Linked DNA regions of Struthio camelus. The protein of the gene in region 1 interacts with the protein of each later gene in a pairwise test. Links are inferred from orthologs where the notes say so. Each region holds a gene or a part of one and is shown in the gene's direction. Other genes may lie near its edges.

Region 1 (11,107 bases):
CCAAAAGGATAGTTAGCAGAAGAAACTTGCGGAACCACTCACACTGATGAAGTGATGATGTCTCAAGATTTCTGAAGCCATGATTTTTGAAGCACATCATGCCATATTATTTTGGGGGGAAATTCCCTTTTAATCAGAGTTTTGCACTTTTTTTCAGCCTTCATGGATAATACATTAAATTTTACATAAGGAATTTTACATATTTTCTTTTAAAAATACAAATAAAAAGTAGTGTTTTGTTTAACATAAAGGTGTTTTTAGACTTGTCTAGGGAACATATTATGCATTTCATCGGCTTATCATATAATCTCTAATAACATTTTCTTCTGTAATTCGCAACATGTTCCTATTACATTAATGGAACAATATGAGCTCCCTTCTTCAGCTAATTAAGTCCCACAGAAGCATTTTCATGCATGTTAGCTGAAGGCTGCATTACATAGCAGAAATGCTGGCATCATATTTCAAAGATACGACATTCACATCCTGTTAGGATTCAGCTTTTAATCCCATTTACAATTCCTTTGACCCTCCATCCCTCAGTACAGTTATTAATTCACACCACTTTTATAAAATCTGCAAAATTATACCTAATCCAAAACTGTCTGCATGCAATAGTAACAAAAGTCAACCTGGGAAAAGCCAAGAAAAGAAAATACATAAGCCGTGAAAAGTGTAATACAAAATAAAAAAGGCACATTTGAAAAAAAGCTAGATATTTACAAGCCAACTCACGCCAGACACAAATATAAAGTCAACTTAGTCCTCCATCAGTTCCACCACCACTCGGAGCTCTTGCTTGTGGATTTACTCACCTTAAGACATGGTCAACTTAGCCTTTCACTTTTCAATTTATAAACAGATCGTGTAAATAGCTGTTTGCAAATTTATAATTACTTTATAATTACTCTTACTTTATAAATGTATTTATAGAGCTAACCTCTTCTCTCAGACTGTAGGTCAGAACTGTTTGGCTCAAATACTATTTAACGAGAACACAGAGCAGGGGAAAAACACACAGGTCATCTAAGTCCATAAATTATCCCATTCAAACAGATGTGCTCTGATTTCTGATGTGGTCTGTAAACTAGACCAAATTCTATCTTTCTTTCCAACTTCCTGACTCCTATAAAGGACTTGCAACATTATGTAACAACCTTTAACAGCCCACATTTTTTGTACAACACTGGCCATTTCAAAATCCCACATGAAACTCTGGAACTAGTAAATGACCCTGAATTCATGCACAGCTAGGGTTACAACAGAGAGTATTCCTAGACATATGTTCACTGCTCACAACTTTGAACCTCCTATAAAAGCCAGGCAACTACTTCCTTTTCCCAAAATGGCTTCTGCTAACACAGCTTATATCGTGGGGGACTGCAACTTTGGGAGCTGCTCAGGTATGCATCTTAGCTTGTTTCTGTCCACATTTAAAATTCTTTTCAAATAAAAAAAAATAAAGGGTGTTTCTAGGATAGTAAGGCTTTTAAATGAAGTACTGCTGTATTGTTGCTTCAGTTCTGTTCCCAGCAGAAGGTTGCATAAAGATGTCCAAAGTTCCCATCTTATTTTAAGATTGGCAAAAAACCTGCTATTTACAGACCCTGCTGGGAAGGTGACACCTCGTGAGCTATTTGCTGTTTCCCAGGTATCTTCACAACATGGTATTTGCTCTTAGTGCCTCGTTGCTATGTTAGAGTCTGCACTATGAATAAAGTAGTGCTGTAGTGTCACCTAGTGGGAAGTTCTGCCAGCTGCCTCTGTATTCACAGTACCACTAAATACTATGTTACAGCACAAACAGGAAAATTGGCAAGTATGTTCTTTTTGCCTGTTTTCTGACATTCCCGCCCCCCTGTCTTTCTATCAAACGCTTTGCTTTTTTTCCAACAAGCCGGTGATAGAGTAGAACAAGACATATACTATGTGTTTTCTCCCCAGTTGTAAATTACTAGTCTAGTTCATTCAGACTGTGTCATTTAATATGTATCCAGATAGTATTTGGCCTTAACTGGCTAATTTCAGTATACATTAAATTCTGTTGCTGTTGTTTTGATTCCAAGTGAATATTTTGACAGACTTTTCTCTTCAGTATTCTACTCTATCTTTTCTTTCTTTACTACAATGATGCACATTACCACCTAGTACTATTTCCATTTCCTCTCAGGGATTTCAATGACTTGTGAAATGACAGTTTCAAGCAGCTGATTCTTTCAGTAGTAACAAGGATTTTTTTCTCAATGATGGCACAAGCTGGTGCATCTGGATCAGGGAACATAAAGTGGTGGTTAAAATAATGAGACTGCTCTGACTTAATACAAGTGCAATAACACAACTGGAAATAATTTGAGGCTTTTAAGCAAGCTCTTTGATTAGAGGTGATTGGAAAGGATGTTAGCTGATTAGCTGCACTGCAGGTGCAATAACAGTTAAACTGTTGTCTCTAAAAGCATAATAACTTAATCACTATGGTATAATGGGGGAATTAAGTTAGTGCTACAGAGTTTTTTCAATGAGTTCCTAAAGGAAATATGCTATCCTTTGCTACTAATACTGCTTTTCCTCAGTTGGCATTCACGTACCTCAGTGCACAAGCAGAAGAATGATTTAAGGCTTCTACGAATGGGAGGGAGGGAATACTGCAACTGAAGCACATAACCCTTTACTGATATGTGACGCTGCTGTAATCACTGGAAGATCATTCTTGATAGCTGCACTATGCGCATGTATAAGCTTATCACATCATACCAGCTGTTCCTCTTGAATGATTCGTCTGAATCTTCTTCTTGATTCCTCTCTTAAAACTGTACAGTGAAATGGTGGCAAAGTTCACTAACTTGAAATCCAGGTGATTCTGAAGTGTTAGTTCCTTCTCTGTACCTTTGACCCGGATCATATAAAGTCTTAAGGACTTGAAGATCATGTTCTTTAAGCTTCTTTTCTTCTAATAAAATCCATACACTTGGGACAAACTAGGATCAAATCACACAAAAATGTAAGCACAATTATTCACATAGGTTCTCCACTGAACTCTACCAGATCAATCTGCAACTTTCAAATACAACTGCTCGTGCTTTGAAAGATTAGAAGTGGAGGAAGGTCTCCTTCCCCAGGAAGCATCCAAATATTAGTAGGTGCTCCACAAAAGATGCAAGCCCCTAGCCAAAAATTTCAGACCGTGAAGACATTTCTGTGCATCAGACCTTTCCTTATGCAGGTGCAAAATGGCTGCTCAGAACTCTGTGGATCCAGTTCCATTCAGCAACCATTGAATCCCTCAGCACTTAAATGCTAACTACTATAAATTGTAGTATAGCTCTGTGAATTCTGTACAATATGCTGTTAAATGCATAAAATGCATTTTTTTTCTTTTGTTACGCCGACTAGAGCAACACTCGGTATTTCCTAATAGTAGCATTGTAAAGGTCTAAAACTTGACTAGTTTATTTGTAAAGCAATCCATGTCTGGCTGGTAGAAGAGGTTAGCGAAATGCAAGGTATAATTAGCAGCTAATCACAAAAGTTCACCCTTTAACAGACAGTGGCATTAGTGCTGTTTTTTAAATATTTCGAGTGCATGACGCATTTGAAATGCTACATGGCAAAAAGGCTTCTTTAAGCCATTACCCCCAAAAGGAATACATCTGATATAAAGGAGAAGAACTAACCAAAGAAACTGTCTTTAAAAAAATCTCTACATGAAAACAAATATCCCTTTCAATATCGCTGAAGGCAAATAATATAGCTTCTCCTATTCTAAAATTATCTTCTACTTTGGATAGCCAGACTGTCAGCTGAAGTGTATAGTTTCCTGATCAAAATAGGAGTCCTTTGGGAATAATCTACTGCTACACTTTAGTCCTCCCATTATTTAAATATGTCAAATACAATTTTTTTTCATTCCCCTAAGAAGGGGGGTAGGGGAGGGAGAGTAAAATCCAACAATGCCATGCAAGAGCTGCATGAAACAGGAGCAGAACTTAACAAAATGTTTTTTAAAAAAAAAAAATTATGAAGCTTTCTCCGAGTTGATATCTGAGGTTAGGACAGACAAAAAATAGGAAGTGAGTAATTTAGTTTCCTGACTGACTTTTCAGTGAATCCTAAAAATGTTTAAGTCCTCAAGAATTCTATTTTTGTAGTTACGCATAACTGATATCTACATACTTCTGCAGACCTTCTAAACAAGCTACGTAATGGACTTTCAAAAGAAAACTTTGTTCATCTGCACACGAATGGCAACAGCTGGACTAGTGGTCTGTAACGAAGAGACTACAGTGATGAAATATCAGTGTCTGCAGAAGACAGAACTAAAAATGTGCCCACTTTCAGAGTTAAAAGTGAAGAGTGTTCTTCATGTGTAGTTCCCCTCTTTGTCAAATACGTGAATTGAAACTAAAGTAATAATCTTTTTTTAAAAAAAAAAAAAAAACACTTAAACTGTATCCTATATAAACTACATCCTCTATGGCTGACTTAAAGGACTCTGGGGCAAATTATTATACTTTGTAAACAAAAAACCTCACTGAGGTAGAGCTCACTTACAATGTTACATGACTTGTTATTTGCTTTAAAATACAAAGAGGTCATTTAATGTTGTCAATGGCCGACTTCCTAAAATTAAAGTCATTTTGACTGAATAGTCATGAATCATATGACTGTGCAGCAAAAAACTTCTACCAGTTTTCTTAGATACTGTATAAAGGCTGCTATTTGATATCCTACAGGCACCAAAATAAAATGACCAAACGTTCCTTTACCATGTACATTAAACTTGTTTCTTTAATTGTAACATACAGAAAGATGATCAAGAGACTATGTCCTAGTTTCACTTCATGTTTTACAAAGTAGCTAACTGTCATGCTAAACCAGGCGATCTGATGAATCATGACCTTATGGGAGCAATATAGTGAGAGAGAAGTAGAAGTCTTGTTTTGCTCGTATTTTCACAGTCACAAAATTTTCATGCCTTGTTCCTGAGCTTTATTGACAATGAAAAGTTGTTCCAAAGCCTAGAATTCTGCTTTGCTTCTCTAGCTAATATTTTTCCTGACTCTAATATTGGGTGGATTGTAAAAGGCAGAAAGTCAAGGTCAAGTCTTACTCAAGTCAAATAAAGGTATATTAATGTAGTCAAATATAATACAAGACCCTATAAAGCTGTTAGATATTACTTCCCTATAAACACACTGTCAAATACTACCTTTAGTCCACAAGATGGAGTAAAATTTGCTTCTGTACCCTGTAGCAAGAGTAGCTAAAAGCCTACACTTATCTTAAATAAATCATGGGTGAATAAAAGGCTGCTGATCTCTGACTTCTCAGCAAAAACATGAGCGTTTCCCTGTGTTCTGTGGAACGTAAGTTGCTAAACTTTCAGTGTCTGAGAAGCCTAGGAGGCAGAATAAATCTTAAAATAGTTTAGAGTAGGAGAACAAATAAGACACAGACCTGAAGATTTCCTTTGCTGCAAGACTACTGAAATTGATCTCCAACTCTGCTGTTCCCTCCCCTCTTTTCCTTCCCCCCCCCCCCCTTCTCACAGTCTGGATATTTCTTAGCAAAAATAAAACAAAGCTAACAAAAAATGCCTTCCTCAGTCAGTATAGCAAGAAGAGCTAATATGCAACATTTACTATATCATGATTAAATGAGTGACGTATCTTGGGGATATACAGCTGCTGGATGGAGAAAATGAATGCTAAACCATGCCTCTGCAGGCTACATTGATATTCGAGACACCTAGTAAGGTCAAACTTTCCAGCTAGCATCAATTCAGTTCTCCTTCATGATAAATCTTTTCTACCAAATGCAGCCAAGCTACGTTAATGAAGCAGCCTTTCTGATTACAGCTATTTTGTAATGTCAGGATGTGAGCGAGCACTTTTCACTGCTCCAGACCTGCCATATGTATCCACTATTTTAATCAAGTTCGGATGGCTTGAGTTATAGACAGAGTAGTATCTCTCTAAGTTGTCATAAAATAATGCAAAAAATGTGGGATTTCAAAGGTTACTGCAAAGATTCTAATTGAAAATAATGTTTAGGAACATAGTATGCAATAAATAACTCCAAGGTGTGTTTTTGGTTACCTCCGTAACTTTGTTTAAAAAGTAAACCTTTACTCCTTCCACGCCTCCCTTCCCCAAGCCTTTAACTTCGAACATCGGGAAAACTGCTCACAGTTCTGGAAAGGCTTGTCTTACAGCCTTGCTTAGGCATGCAACAGTTTTAGAGTCGTTCAGCTTGCTCTTACGTACCTGGCTCCCAAGCTGCAGTGAGAAGGCGGGGGAGGGCGGAGGCCCTGCCAACTCGATTGCTCATGACTAGCGTCATATGACACTTCAAAGATGGCCGAAGGGGAGAGCCCATCTGCCGCGGAACAGAAAGAAGACTTTGAAATTATTGACAAAAACCTGATCCCTAATACCCCTGAGCTGAAAAACGAGGGAAAAGAGAAAACTGCGGAAGAAGCAAGATGGTCTGCTCCCATCTTGTCGCTGGCTAAGAAAGCCTCAGAAAACTTAGCGCTGAGCTATGGCAACGCTCTGAAGTCTGCATCTTTGGTAGGATTCATATCCAAACCAGTCAGCAATGACAACACAGCAAAAACAAGTATGGTTATGTTTATTTAGTAAACTTGCTTTTATGGTGCACAAATAAGTTAGTTAGCTCCCGTAAGTGGCATTTATCAGTGTCAGTGAGGCATTATTATTACTCTGAATTTATTTTTAAAAATCTGATGCTGCGCTATTTAATGGAAGCAAAACTACACAAACACCACAGATGTAGAACTGAACAAAGTATATTCTAACTAGAAAAATCGTAAACTCTGAATATATTCGGAAAATTTGACTTTATTTTCTGTACATAAGGCTTTTGATTACTTTTGCCTTCTCCCTTAAAGTTCTCCTTAGCAGCAGCCTGACTGCACTAGTAGGTGATGTGGCTCATTTCTTATCCTTCCTAGGCGGTTCAGAGAAGGAGCTATACTTGTGGTATGATTTTTTGTGACACAAGGTAGACTAAGACAAAGACTTGTCATGAATTACTTCTTTTTCACTATGCTAAAAATGCCCCCTTAAGTTAACTACAGCTTGCTTTATTAAACATCCATATTTGTGGGTATAACAATCCATATGGATTTACGGAACGAGTCTTTTACAGCTGAACTAAAAGGGCTTTAGTTGGATCCTTATGCGAATTGAATCCTTTGGTACCACCTCAGTGATATTCGGGCACTGGAAACAAAACCATTCAAATGTAGTGGTAACTGGTCACATTAGTCTTGTCCTCCAGGCTTTCAGGCTAGCGCTTAGTGATTTTTTTGGACCAACAGAGCTCAGTTATGGTTCTGACCTTCTTGTTTTTCATGATATTTAGTACTCAAGCTGGAGTTCTCTGGGGATGAATTGTGGCTATGTGGTGAAATAAGCTACTCGTGGTGGGTGGGGGGGGATTTTTTTCAATGAAAATTCCTTGATTTTTGTATAGTCAGGAGAGTTTAAAATAATAATCTAGTTTTCCAGGACACAATTTCGCTTTCCCTGCATCTATTACACAGTCTCAGACCACATTTAACAGATTTGTTTTCTGGATGCCCAGCGTGAGAACCTGGAATCTAACCTGAGGAAGGACAAAATATCCCACTGTCTTCAGGTGCATTGGGATCGCTGCTGTGAACACACATAGTACAACAGCACATGCAGCATTTGCTGGGGGTAGAGGAGAGGGCTGTTAAAACATTCTGCCTGAAATGAGAGTCCCCAGGCTTCATGGGACTTTCACCATAATCTTGCAGCTTCCTATCTGTAAAATGAGGGAATGCAACTCCACCTCACCAGATTATGAACGTATTATCCAAATACTTTGAACAACGTTTATAGAAAATTCCATGAGAAAAATCTGCTTATAACTTATTTAAAAAAAAAAAAAAAGTGAACAGGCACTAGATGACCTATTCTGCCCTCCTGTGTAAAAGGCTTCACCGTTACCCTTGACTGAGAACAGTAAATTTGATTTAAAGCAGGTATTAAATAAATAACCTCTAGTTCTGTGGCCTGCAAGAAGATATGTGGAGTGCTAGTAACTTGTTCCTTGTTGCCCTCTTTTCCAGAGATTTTATAATCTCTACCTGCTACTTCAGGTATGTTGATCACTTGAAAAGTCACCACTGCACACTCCACAGCAAACTGGACAGATAAAAGGAAAGGCACACCATAAAACTAGCGTGTACTACTGATGAAACTGTCCCGCTTGGCTGGAAAGATAGGGAGCTACCAATTTAAATACAAATCAAGAAAGACTTGCAGTTTTATAGACCAAGAGGTGGAGAACAGTCAAGGTTTCTTCATACTTCAGTTTTTTTCCTACCTCAAGGCCTGCTGAATAGTGTGCAGTAAACAAGGCACGGGGGCTTCAAAATGATGTTAAAACAAATCTGTTGAATTGGATGAGGTAAGAGACTGTGTGACGGTGTTTTTAATGACCGCATCATAACGTGTGTGATCTTTTGCACTTAAGTAACTCGATTCCTAATCTTCCAGGCCTTGCTTTGGTAGATCGCGCTGTTCTAGTATCTGGCTTTTTTGCATGTACCAACTTGTACATGGTTTTAGAAAAGATGCACTTGACTGTCCAACCTTGCAACTGTTTAAAAAATAGTTCAGATTGTACTAACTAGTACTTAGTACAAATGCTTATGAAGACATGGTTTACATTTAAATTTTTGTTCATAAATAAATTATCATTCACAAAATTCGTTTAAAAAAAGACTTGTGGCTGATATGATACCTAGCCCTTGAGCAAAGCTCACAAGCAAAACATGCCTGACAAGTAAAAATCCAGTCTCAGGAAATCGTCAAAATAACTCGATGAGTTGCCATTGAAGCATCCTAACATCTAAGCAAGGCCACTGATTTCCTATTTCCATAGTCAGCCTTTTTTCTGTTCCTAACGTGTAGCCTGGCAATACTGACATCAACATTTAAAAATATTACAACCCTTCTAATTCTCAGTCTCATCTCGGACATTATAAGCAGTTTTGAGGCATCCACTATACTGACTGTAGATAGTGATATGTTGGAAACAGCCTATGGAGAAGATAGGATTTTATGTGCTTCTTCTTGAGACTGACTTGAATTTGGATGAGAACGACTCCCTGTTTTGACTCTTCTGATATGGAAGACTTTTGTTCACTAGTAACCCTGAATTAACATTCTGTGCACGATAAGGAAGGTAATCATGAAAATTAGTACTCAAAAGACTTTTGCATGCTGTTAGGAATAGCATTAGCAATCTCACATGTGACTGAGGCGGGGGCTCTCTACCTGTTAAACTTGGTCTTCTGTGACTGCTATTTCTGCAGGGGGTATTACCATGTTTGATCCGCAGATGCGAGCAGGATTCTCCTAATGCAACATCGTTGGCTCAAAAGACCATTTAGCCATGGGTCTGCGGTTGGCAGCATCTGCCAGAACCTGCGTTGGCTGAGGATAAGCCGTGGCTGGCAGCCTGTTTCTGTCTCGACCCTCCTCTCCTTTTAAAAGGAGGAGCGCTGCCCTGTGCCGTTAGGGGAAGCGGGGCAGAGCGCCCCTCAGAAGCAGGGCTCGGCGCTGAGGGAAGCGGGGACGGCGCTCAGCACCGCCGTCCGCGGAGCGGCGCGGCAGGCCGAGCAGGCTGCGGCCTCCCTGGGCTGCGGGAGTTCAGGGTGCAGTACTCACCCTTCCCCCCACCCCCGTCCTAAATAGCTGCAGCTGCCTTTCGGGAAGGCGAGGGGGAGCCGCAGTACCTGCCTGGCGAGCCGGGGCAGGAATAACGCAAAGCGCCCACTCCCCCAGCGCCGCGCAGGGGAAAACCCTTTCTAAAATGGCGCCTGCCGCCAGGCGCGCCTCGTCCCGGGCTCGCTGGGTCTCGCGAGAGTTCCCGGGCGCGGAGGGGGTGGGGGGGGGGGCGGCTCTGTTTCCGTGGCAACGCGGGGCGCCGGGGGAGCCGGTCCGCAGCGCCCCCGCGGGGAAGGGCCGCCGGCCCGGGCCGCCCCTCGCACCGGCACCGGCTCCGCCAGGGCAGGAGCCCCCGCCGCTGCCCGGGGCCTGGCGATAACCCTCGAGCCCCTCACAGAGGCTGTCCGCGGCGGAGGGGGGGTCACCCCGGCCTTGTTTTTGTGCCCCCGCGCCCCTACAGCCGTTCCCTCGGACAAGAAGGAGACCAAGCCGGCGGCACTGCTCTCATCGCTGCTGTGACAGCCAGAAAGGGGAGCCTGCGTTTCTAAAAAACAATTTAAAAAAAAATCATTTTTTCTTTTCCCACCTGTGTCTCCCCTGCCTAGCTGTCCGCTGCCACGCGATGGAGGAGCGCGCAAACCTCATGAACATGATGAAGCTCAGTATCAAAACCCTGATCCAGTCAGCCCTGAGCCTGGGCCGGACCCTGGACTCGGACTTCCCTCCCTTGCAGCAGTTCTTCGTGGTGCTGGAGCACTGCCTCAAGCACGGGCTGAAAGGTGAGCGCCCGCCGCGACGCCCGGAGGGGAGGCGGATAAACGAGGCCGCGTCCTGTCTCGCTGCCTTTTCAGTTAATATGGCATTAATTGCACGCACTATAAGCTACTAATCAGTACTCCTGATATTCCTGTGTGCTTACCTTCTGATATGCCCTATGTTGTCCGCCACCTAAACAGTCAAGGGTCTTTTAATGCCCCATTTACGTACCAGGAGGTGGTAAGATGAAGTTAAGTGTCGACTAAAATTTGTGACTCTGGAGTTGGAGGCAGAAGCCTGTTACTTTTCCTCACAAACGTCTCTGTATATTCTCTTTAGTGAAGAAGACTTTTATTGGACAGAACAAATCATTTTTTGGTCCTTTGGAGCTAGTGGAAAAGCTTTGTCCTGAAGCATCAGATATAGCAACTAGTGTTAAAAATCTGCCAGAATTGAAGTAAGTTGATTATTGGGGATGATACAATTCACTTACACCTCTGGGGAAAAAGAATCCTTCCTAAACTCTCTCACCTTGCCTTATTGAGATCTTATTCCCAAAGAGAAAGATGGTGTATGCTGGAGGCATTGATTCCTCCGAGAGGTAAAGAGGACATCTTAAGGTATTC
Region 2 (10,233 bases), on another chromosome or scaffold:
CCCAAGCCAAGTCACAAACATGAGTTGGAGAAAGGCTGGTTAAGCATCATTCTGCTACCATAAAAACAAAACAAACAAACAAACAAAACAGAACAAAAATCCTAAGCCTTTTGCTGGGAAATACAAGCAGGTGTGTGATATGTTAGAGCCAATGCTGTTAAGACCTCATCTGGAGTACTGTGCCTAGGTCTGCACACTGTTCATTTACAAAGATGAGGACCAACTGGAGGAAGCCCAGAGAGATCAATAAAAGCAACTGGAAGTCTAAAAATTGTGACCTACAAGGAAGGATTAAAAGAACGGTGTTTGTTTAGTCTTCCAGTAAAACGAGGGGTAGATGATGTCTTCAAATATGCTAAAGATTCTTGCTTCCAGCATCCACTGAGATAAGCTCATTACTTCTTGTCCTCGTTTCCAGCAAAGGCGATTAGGTTAGACTTCAGAAAACATTTCTATCTCCAAGGGTAGTTCAGCGCTTGAATACATTGCTTAGGGAGGCTGTGGAATCTCCATTACCAGAAATTTTGAGAAACAGGCTATATGTCAGGAGTATTTAACATCAATCCTGTCTATTTGCTCTTATTCTGGAGGGGTTTTTTAGTGGATAAATTTGAAGAAAAATAAGGTCTCATTGGTTTTAATGTTCTATCAGTTAAATCAGGGGCAGTAAAGACAAAAGCCGTGGTTTTAGCACTCCCATAGCTGGATGCTTATTTATACCAATGTACCAATTAGATTTGCTTTCCAAAAGCTTAGCTAAAATGCTGACGAAATATGCCTGATTGGGGAAGTCTTGTCTATGCCACGGTTCCCAAAACTGCTAGCACTGGTTCAGCTGAACTAGCAGAAGGAAAAAAAAATCTCTAGTGTAGATAAGATTTATAGTCTCTGTACCTTAGTTTCCTTATATGTACATAGTAGAACATTTATTGGCTTCTCTTCACTGTCCTATGGTGTTGCAATGCATGTACGACTTCTATTAATAGATTTATCCCTTGGTTTGCCTGAGTTTATTGTTTTGTAATACCTTCTTTGAAAGTGAGGTAATAATTAGTTTATGCAATATTAAAAGCTAACAAAAGAAACAAGCAAGAAGTACCTCAAGGAAGTAGAAAATAGAGTCCAACCTTATCTGCTTTATTTATCTGTGAAATTGCTGAGGCATCCTTCCCTACCACACACTCGAACACCTTCTCTTGAGAAAACCACCACCTCATTCTTCTTAGTCCTCCCAGCCTGCAGGAGGAACAGTTTGACTAGCCAGTGTTTGTGCCTGTGAGTACATGTAAGAAGCCTTTATTAAAGTCAAGTCAGATCAAAGGGAAACACTGCACTTCACTTTAAAATCCTGCAGTCATTCTTGGCTTTTAGCAGAGAAGCCTGCTACAGTCTGGGCCTAGCCTCTGTGAAGCATCTTTTTCCCCTGTGCTTTTTCCTCACCGAGACTGATTTTCCTCACTGAAATATAGTCCAGTGAAAGGTAACTATTAGGGAAGAATACAGCTGCATTTGGAGACACGCTCTCTCACACCAGTGGTTTAAATGTAATAGAGGATTTGGACAGACAAAGATGCTGTAGTCAGAGGGATTGTGTGCAGTGAGGGAATATGTTTGCGAAAATATTCACCACATTTTGCACCAGTATGTCTGGACAGAAGCTACAGCAATGAGTCTGTCAGTTATCAGTATATGGACTGCTGAGACCGAGTCTGACTGCAGCAAGATAGGATGCAGCTTTCTATCTAGCTGGAGAATGTGAATTTCTATTTTGGGGCATCTAACCACACTAAGGAGTCCAAAAGGAACATAGGAAATGATTCAACAAGCTGAGTAAATAGATTTTCTAGGAGCAGCAAATACTGAAACAACGCAATTGCAGAAAATTCCATCCTCCACGTTTTATATATTGTGCAGTTTTGTTGAAAGGTCCTGTCAGACTACATCTGTTTATTCAGAGACAGCATTCATGGCATATTTTATTCCAGCAAAGCTGTAAACTGTACCTCACTTTCTACTGGCCACAGTGGCTTTGCTCATTTAAAAGAACAGCCATGTATGTTTTTGCTTATAAAAGGACTTTCAGTTTTCCTGATGGTGTCTAATTGCCAGGACCCTGATGGCACTACTAGGCCTTAATTGTCCTGACCAGCTTCACCTGGGATCTCCACCCAAGCACCCTTTTTCCATAGTGGGGAGGGGCTCTAGGGGCTTCATTTAAGCTTGGGTTTGGGACTGCAGGTTTTGCCTGAGCTGTGTTTTGGGTGAGCCTGTCTCTGTTCCTTCCCCCTTGGACGAAGCTCATACCTACATTGTAGGTGGCTTGGTCTTTGGTCCTGTCTTCTGCTGTTCCTGGGTGGACTTCTAGGATGGATCCTGGACGTGATTCAAAATCTCACCTTTTCTGATGGTCACTAGATGAATGACAGAAACTGTTGCTGTCACCATCCCAGCCCTGTGCATGACTGTGCCCTTGCCGGTTGGGGCCACCCTTGGTCCCAACTAGTTATCCACGGTGGAGTGGCCCCATTCTTGCTGTTCCCTGGTGCTGATGTGCAGCTCAGGAAGAAACCAAAGGTTGCCTAAAAGTACTCTTTTAAAACAGATTTTTTTCTTGAAAAGAGACTCTAATTTTTATTAATATATTTGAACTTGATCCTAGTTGTTTCAACTTCTAATTTTAACCATGTAAGTTATATTTTCTACAGTTTCTTGCCATCTGACTTTTCAAAGTATCATACATAGCAAAATATAGGAATACTTTGACAAAATAAATCTGTTCATGATTAATTTTAGCACAACCAAATACCTTTAGAACTGTATGGCTTTTATTTCTTGAAATGCAAGACATCTAATCTGGTTAGAACAGCAGACTGTCATGCCAAGTACAGTCATTCTACAGGATTAAGAACTATAGGATTACAGATCCTAATTATAGACTCTTGTCAGTTTACTAAATCCTGATACATTGTTTCCAACTTCTGATTCCACTTGTCAGGTCTCTTTTGCAATCATGTTTTTAATGAACTTTCTGATGTATCTTCTAACTTCAGAAACCTGTATTCTGATAGCACTGACTGGTCTCTATTGTATGTTTAAAGGTCGGAGCACCAAGACCTGAGCATCTCCACTCTGAGGCTTTTCACAACAAACTTCAAATTATACTGTTATTCAACTACACCACTTTCTGCTCTACTTGGTTCATTGGTTTTAGATTACTTCCCGAGAAGCAGTTGATGATGATTCTATGTAGCTTTTTTTTTTTTTTGGCTGCCTGACCGCTCCCCACCCCACCTGCGGTCAGTGTAGATTTATGCACTGAAGATCATTTTAAAAGATACTACTATTTATAGGTAATATATTTATGATGAATGACATTGATATCTTTGTCTTTTGACATCTTCTTTGTCATATTATTTTGCCCTCAATGAACTTTTTGCTTTGTGGAAGCTATGGTTAAGAACATTATTTGTCCAATTGTCGATAGCTGTGTCCTGCAGGACTGGTCAAGCAGCATTCTTTCACATTCAGTGGAAAGCTGTCAAGATAATTAACCTTTCAATAATTGACTGGAATGTGGCCTAGATTCTTTAACTGATGAATGGGGCGATCTTATTTACATTAGGATTTTTTTTGCTAAAGTTACTTACCAGTGCAGCACTCAGTTCAGCTGCTACTGACAATAAGCAATAATAAGCAATGATACAGTCAATACTGCTGTCATTTGAAGCATAAGTTTTGGCTGCCTAATCAGAACAGTGGTAAAATGGAGTCTTGTTTATAGAGACCTTCTAATGTTTTGACTACTGATTCTAAAAGCAATATACAGACTGGGACTTCAAAAGGAAAAAGGGAAGGCTACATGTTAACTGCCACAAAGTCAGAAAATTGCCTGAACTATAGTAGTTGTCACGGTTGCAGTAACGATGGTTTAAGGACATAGTCAAGCCAAGATTAGAAGTAATAGTAATAACTTCTTATTGGACAAACTAGTAAAGCTGGAAAAACAAAGCTTTTTTTTAATAATAGTCTTTTTTAGTTATGGGACCTTATTTCATCATTCCTGTGCATATGCATTATAGTTCAGTCTTTTATTACATATATTAGACAGGAGTAGGCCCTCATTTAGGGAGATGCATGCCCCATGAATGAAAATCCCTGGGTAAGTATCAGGTTTCTCATTTTTGATTGTGCAGTCCTGTAACTTTATTACTGTATACCAATTAAATACAGAACTACTCATTTCCTTGCTTTTTTTTCCCCCCCCTCAAAGATGCTCCAGGTAACAAAACACTCAGACTTTGACAATCTTGTCCTCACCTGCCTGTGAACAAAAGTGATGTTTTAGCCCTCTTTTCCAGCTCACCATCAGAGGAGCTAAGTATTGACAAACCACTTCCAAAGTCACAACTCTACCTGTAGTTTGCCTTCTCGCAAACCGCAGCACCTAAGACAGTTTATGCTGTGCACCACTTCAACGGTGAGTATTCAGTATTTTTTCAAGTTGGGCCTGAAAACGATGAGCTGGGAGCGCGTTGTGGCCAGAGCATCAGCCAGGAGAGTCCTTGGTGCTGCTGGCAGTCGAGGGAAGGTGACGGCGAGCCCGGAGCAGACCCGCTGCAGCCATCAGAGCGGCAGAAGAGCCGGGAACGGGCCCACTCCGGCCGTGTAGCTTGTCCTCCCCCCTCAGCCCGCGCCTCCTTTCCTCTAGCCCTTGGGAACGCGACTTGTTTGCCGACAGCGCGACAAGCCGAGGGCCGGGTGAGGCAGGGGCCGCCCTACGAGCCTCCTTTAAGGTGTTTCGAGTCGCTGGCGAGGCCGGCTGCTCCCGCTCAACAGCGTGGGGCGCTTCCCGAGGACAAGAGGCAACTCCGGGGGGGGGGGAGGGGAATGGAGACCAGGCCCCACAGAGGCTGCTGGCGGAGGCGAGCCGCCGCCCCACCCCCTTCCCGCCGGGGCTGGCGGTTGGGGCGACGGTTAAACCCCTCCCCGGGCGGGGTCTCGCGCACCTGCCTGCCTCCCGCCCCCGGCGGGTGGGGCGCATGCGCAGTGGTTGCGAGGCGTCCCGCCCCCTCCAGTCCCCCCCCCCACCGGCGAGGTTGGCTGAGGGGACGCGGTGCGGAGACGGCCGCTCTCGCTGGGCTCGGCAGGTGAGTGGCGGCGGTGCCCCCCCCCCCCCCCCCCATCGTGGGGCCCCACCGCGCCTGTCCGGTGCGGAGCCGCCGGCGGGCTTCCCGGTGCCGGCCGGCTGTGGGGCGGGCTCTGCGCCCGCTGCCGGGGCCAGCTTGGCGGGGAGGCGTCGTGCGCCCGGCGCGGCGCGGCTCGTTCCCGGTGCCGTTGGCTTGAACCGCGGTCGGCAGCGAAGTCGCTTGGGGTGGGGGGAGGGGAGCCCCCGGGCCGGGGGGCTGCGGGGCGGCGGTGCCGGCCGGCAGGGAGGGCTGACGGTTGGCGTTAGTTAGCGTGAGGGGGAGCCGCGCTCGGGCTAGCACTGCTCGCAAGCGCTTCCCCGTGCCCGGCGGGGCAGCGCGGCCGGCTCCGGGCGGGGGTCCGCGGAGGGAGGGCGGGCGGCGGCGCGGCCCGAGGGCTGGGGCGAGGCGCGGTCGGCGCGGTGGCGGGCTGGTTTCGGCGCGGTTCCGACCGCTCCGCGGTCTGCGAGCGCTGCCGAGGCTGACGGCGGGCCCGCGGCTCGGCGGCCACTGCGTACTGCTGCAGCAGCTCAGGAGCGGGGATTTGCAGCTCGCCGTCGTTTCTTAACGCGATTACGCTGGAGAGCAAGGCGCGCGGAGGGAATTCTGGTTGCGAGTTGGTGGCAAGGCGGTGAGCGGTGCGGAAGCGTTGCGCTGCCGACGTGCTCGCGCTCTGCTGGGGGCTCCCTGATACTCGTAGGACTCCAGGAAGCAGGGGCACACCAAGCGCAAGATCCTGGACGATGCCGTAAACTCAGAAGTACTGCTGACAAAAAGCAACCGGGTTTTCATCAGTTTGGAAGTGTGGTCCGCTTTGTTTGCGGATGGCTTACTTGACTGTGTGCTCGCTGATTTGTTCGTTGTGTTCATCTGTAAGCATCTTCCGCAGAAAATCTGAGAAACGGTGATCTAGGTAGTTAAGACTAGCAGTATTTGTGATTACCAGCTTCTCTTTAGGAGCAGACGAAAGGTTATTCAATCTAGAAGCATGCAGTGGCAGCTACCATCTGTTCGAATATTTACATTCCTCAGTAAAATAAGGGAAGAACCTTAGCTCTTGTTGCTTTAATATTTTTATTGTTGTTTTCATTTTATTATAGATTGGTTTAATGAGGTCTGGGGTGGGTTAAAATCAGGCCTTTTGTATTTCTGTCTCAGCGGTCGCTCTTCTGCTGCGCTTGGTTAATGTTACCTAGTGAGCAAAGAAGGATGAATAATTTACCATTCTCATTATGCTTTTAATAAATAACAAATGTGAGTGCACCTCACAGCTGCAACTGAAATATCCATCTTGTTACAGTATATTTAAAAGGGTAAATTTTTCTATAAGGAAAGTTAAAATAAATCTTCTGATTACAAACTACACCTATCTTCATAGCTGTATTGACTTCATTTAAAATTAATTTTAAAATGCTAAATAAACTGCTCTCATAGCTATTCCAATTAAATTTATGGATTTTCTCAGAAAACATGTACTTTGGATTTTTATTTTTAAGAGCCTTTTAAATATGGTGCTTAAAGTCTTGTCTACTGTAACTTTGCCAAAACTTAAAGTTTAAGACACTTCAATTACACGTAGTATGGTAACCAGTTTTTTCAGAAATTAAGAAAATGAAATATTTCCTTAATGCGTTTACAGATAGCTTTAGAAGGCTTTGCAAAAACCGTGAAAACTGTAATCATTTTTATTTATTAATAAAATATTTTTAGTGTTAATTAAAAAATGAAAGGGTTACTTTAGTTGAAGTTTTGGCAAGAGTTGTGATGCTGTCAGTCAGTGTGATCAGGCTTAAAACCGATAAGGTGTTGTAAAGCTGTTTCCAAAACAAGGCAGAACAGTGCTGTGCCTTAAAAAGAGCAGTATCTGGAAAGAGATGAATATTCACAGTAAAACTAACTTGGTTTAGAGAGGCTTTTGGAACCGAACAGCATTCACTGAATGTTTGTTTATAATAAAATTTCCAAGCATTATACCTTGCAAAGCACTGATTTTTTTTTTTTCCTCTCTCTCTAGTAAAAGGTATACTGGATTCTAGACTGCATTTATAGGTTTCACAAACACTTCATAAATATAGATCTTTGAATCTTGCCTGCTACTTATTTTTGTAAGAGATAAAACACTTGCAGTCACCTGTACTTTTCTAGATGAAGCTATCCCAATGATAACACTTTCAAATGAGATTTTTAATCATCAGTTCAGCAAAACAAAAATTCTTTTAATGGACTTGATAAAATCTTGTTATCAAATAGGTTAAATATTTCTTTAAAACAGCGTGAAAAATTGTTTTGTATGTCTAATATGAGAGTACAGAATATAAAAGACCCTGATCATAGTGACTTCATATGGCATAACTAATAGAAATATGATAGGAAAAAAACCCTGTTGAACTGAACTGAACCTTTTTTTTTTTTTGCTTGTTCTTTAAACTTTCCTCACTGTTTCTTTTGCTTTTGATAGGTCAATATGTTGTGTAAGATCACTTTCAAATAAAAGTAGAATATCTGAAGACTGGAGTAGTTCAGTGCTCTTCTTTTCTCTCATATCTTGCTGTCTCCCAAATTATGTTCCCTGTTTGGGCTGCTTAAGTAGAAAGTTCCATCATAATTGCAAAACCTTAAAGGTAGGGTAATTTTTCTGTGTCTCTGAAGTAGCTAAAGGCCACGCTATCTTATTTTATCTCTAGTTGTTTTTTATATAATCTTAATAAATCAGACTTGTGAAGAATTTACTTTTATCACAATCTGTTGCATAGTGGTGCTTAAACAAAAACTTCATATCTTGCTTGCAACACTTTAAAGGCTTTGGCTGCTGGCATCTCATTGTTTATGTGGTGGGCAAGGGCTACAGGAGCGCCAAGGTTATTTGGTGAGCTGTAATCCATGCCAAGGTAGATTGGAGGGAGGCAGTGAACCATACTTATGATTCAATTTTGAATTGTTTTCTGTAAACCTTAAGGGAATTCCTATGCCAAATCTTGAATTGTGTTTGTGCAATGAACTAGCATCGATAAGCATTTAAATTTGCTTGAATTTTGTGACTAATGAGTTTTTAAGCTTAAAACACTGTGTAGCCCTGAAGAAAAAACCCTTCAAACTTTTTTTTGTCCATAATTGGATAGGTGTGACTTATACGGGTATTTTAAACCTTAATTTAATATCCTCATAAGCTTTACAGAAATATTATTTTCTTAACTTCCTATGAAAAATACCTGCTTGCATCTGATATCTGTAGGTATAGAGTGGCTGTACTTAATTGGACTGCCTCTTTAAGAGTTACTTCTTAGTCTGCTAGTGTGCTACACTGTCATGCCCTATTCAGTTCTTTAGGACTTAAAGCCTATTAATTTCCAGGTTACATAATGCAAAATATTTCAAGACTTTTTAAAATGTATTTTAACCCTATGGAAAAGAATGCAAGACTAGTAGAGGGCTAATGTCAGTCTTTTTGGAGAACTGGAACAAAATCCACTCTCCTACCCTTAAAAAAAAAGTCAATAAAAGCAGGCTTTGGAGTCTAATAAATGATGTCTTTGAGACTTTATTACTTTTTTGAAAGACCTGCTGTGTGACTATTAAAACACTACAGCTAATATGCACTTTGATATATTTTTTTAAATGCTAATTAAAATTAACTTTTCATCAGAATGTTTAGAAATAGTACCTTTTTTCCCTTATATGATTTTTTTTCCCCCCCTCATTTGAGCAGGTAACAGTTCTGTTGTCATCATGCTTGCGACTGTTAAAGTGAAAATTGAAATTTTGAAGCAACAAATGTTTAGTGATGGTGTTTAATAAATGGACTATTAGTGTTAACCAAGGAAACTGCTTTTAAATACAAGACAGACTGAAGATGACAACTTTGAACAATCTGTGAAAGACTCCAGAGCTTATAGGAGACCGTTTTACATCAGGCTTTTGTTTCAAAAGGAAATAAACCACAATATAATTATTGCTTTTCAGGAAGCCTTTGAGCATTTGGTTTTTGATTGCTTTGGTTCAGACAAGTAGCCAAGCTACTCTTATAGTAACAATAGGCAAACTAGATCAAGCATTTTCATTTGACTACTGTTTGAAAATGTTCAGTTTTAGCTTCCTATTAGAAGCTATGGAGATGTATCATACTGACCTTCAACTGACTTGTTCGCAGTACACTTTTATTTAATATTAGATAAAACAAGACTTGCGCGCAGCTTCCTCAGGGCGTTATGTGGGTAGTTAGCAATCCCAGTGTGATAGTGCAGTGAAAATAAAAAGGTGCAACATTTTGGCAACCTCCACCAAATTTTCATTCTTTCCAGATGAAAGTATAAGGAAACTAATTTATGTTTATATTCCCTGCTGGATTATTACAATATTGAATATTGTATGCCATCCGAACTGCATCCTATCACCTAAAACAAAAATAATCATATATTTGCAAGGCACTAATGCTATTCCAAATTTTCACTCTATATTACTGTGATGTAATAAGTATTAAGATAATTCATGATTTTCTTTATTTAATAACAGCTAGCTGCCCTGGAATATGTCAGAGTATCAGCTTTTGTTCACAGTAGCAGAATTTAGACCCCTAAAGAGTGCTGTGTCAACAGTGTGGTTTTTTAATACACTGTCAGCATGGCTCCTAGTAAAACTCTTTCTCTGCTTACCATGCGTTTAATGTTTCTTCATAGCAGCGCTGTTCATTGCTGCCTCCCAGCCAATCATATGAACCCAAAAAAGCCTTGAAACAAACCTATAATCTTTATCACTGAAATTTAGCATTTTTTCTTTTTGCTTACCATTTCTCTTCTCAAGAGCTCTTTTCCCAAAAGAGCACTCTTACTTTTAAGACTGCTTAGTTTTTTTGCATGTATGTTTGCATTAATGCATAACATTAGCTAACAATTTTGTAGCAATTTTCTGGTTTTTGTCGGTCTTGAAAGTGAGATATTTAATATGGACTTCTTTGTCTTGTATTGGTGATGTGCCTAAGTTCTGCGTGCTCACTGCAAAGTGAGAAGTAACTCTAGGAAGGAAGGAAGTTGTGAATGGAAAGTGTTTTACACAG

What was found.
Region 2: the proteins of RUFY1 (region 1) and RAB3IP interact in binary tests that used the Homo sapiens proteins (3 or more experiments, as listed by UniProt). The two-hybrid records come from large-scale screens. The link is inferred for Struthio camelus from reciprocal best matches to the Homo sapiens genes RUFY1 and RAB3IP.

The regions. Positions count from the first base shown.
Region 1 is NC_090954.1:6,832,952-6,844,058, forward strand, and holds the start of RUFY1 (RUN and FYVE domain-containing protein 1), read left to right. Parts: upstream 1-6,333; 5' UTR 6,334-6,353; coding exon 6,354-6,618; intron 6,619-9,332; exon of another isoform or gene 9,333-9,712; intron 9,713-10,330; coding exon 10,331-10,504; intron 10,505-10,820; coding exon 10,821-10,938; intron 10,939-11,107. UniProt on the Homo sapiens protein: Activating adapter involved in cargo sorting from early/recycling endosomes. Regulates retrieval of proteins from endosomes to the trans-Golgi network through interaction with the dynein-dynactin complex.
Region 2 is NC_090942.1:40,820,633-40,830,865, forward strand, and holds the start of RAB3IP (rab-3A-interacting protein), read left to right. Parts: upstream 1-5,047; 5' UTR 5,048-5,147; intron 5,148-10,233. UniProt on the Homo sapiens protein: Guanine nucleotide exchange factor (GEF) which may activate RAB8A and RAB8B. Promotes the exchange of GDP to GTP, converting inactive GDP-bound Rab proteins into their active GTP-bound form.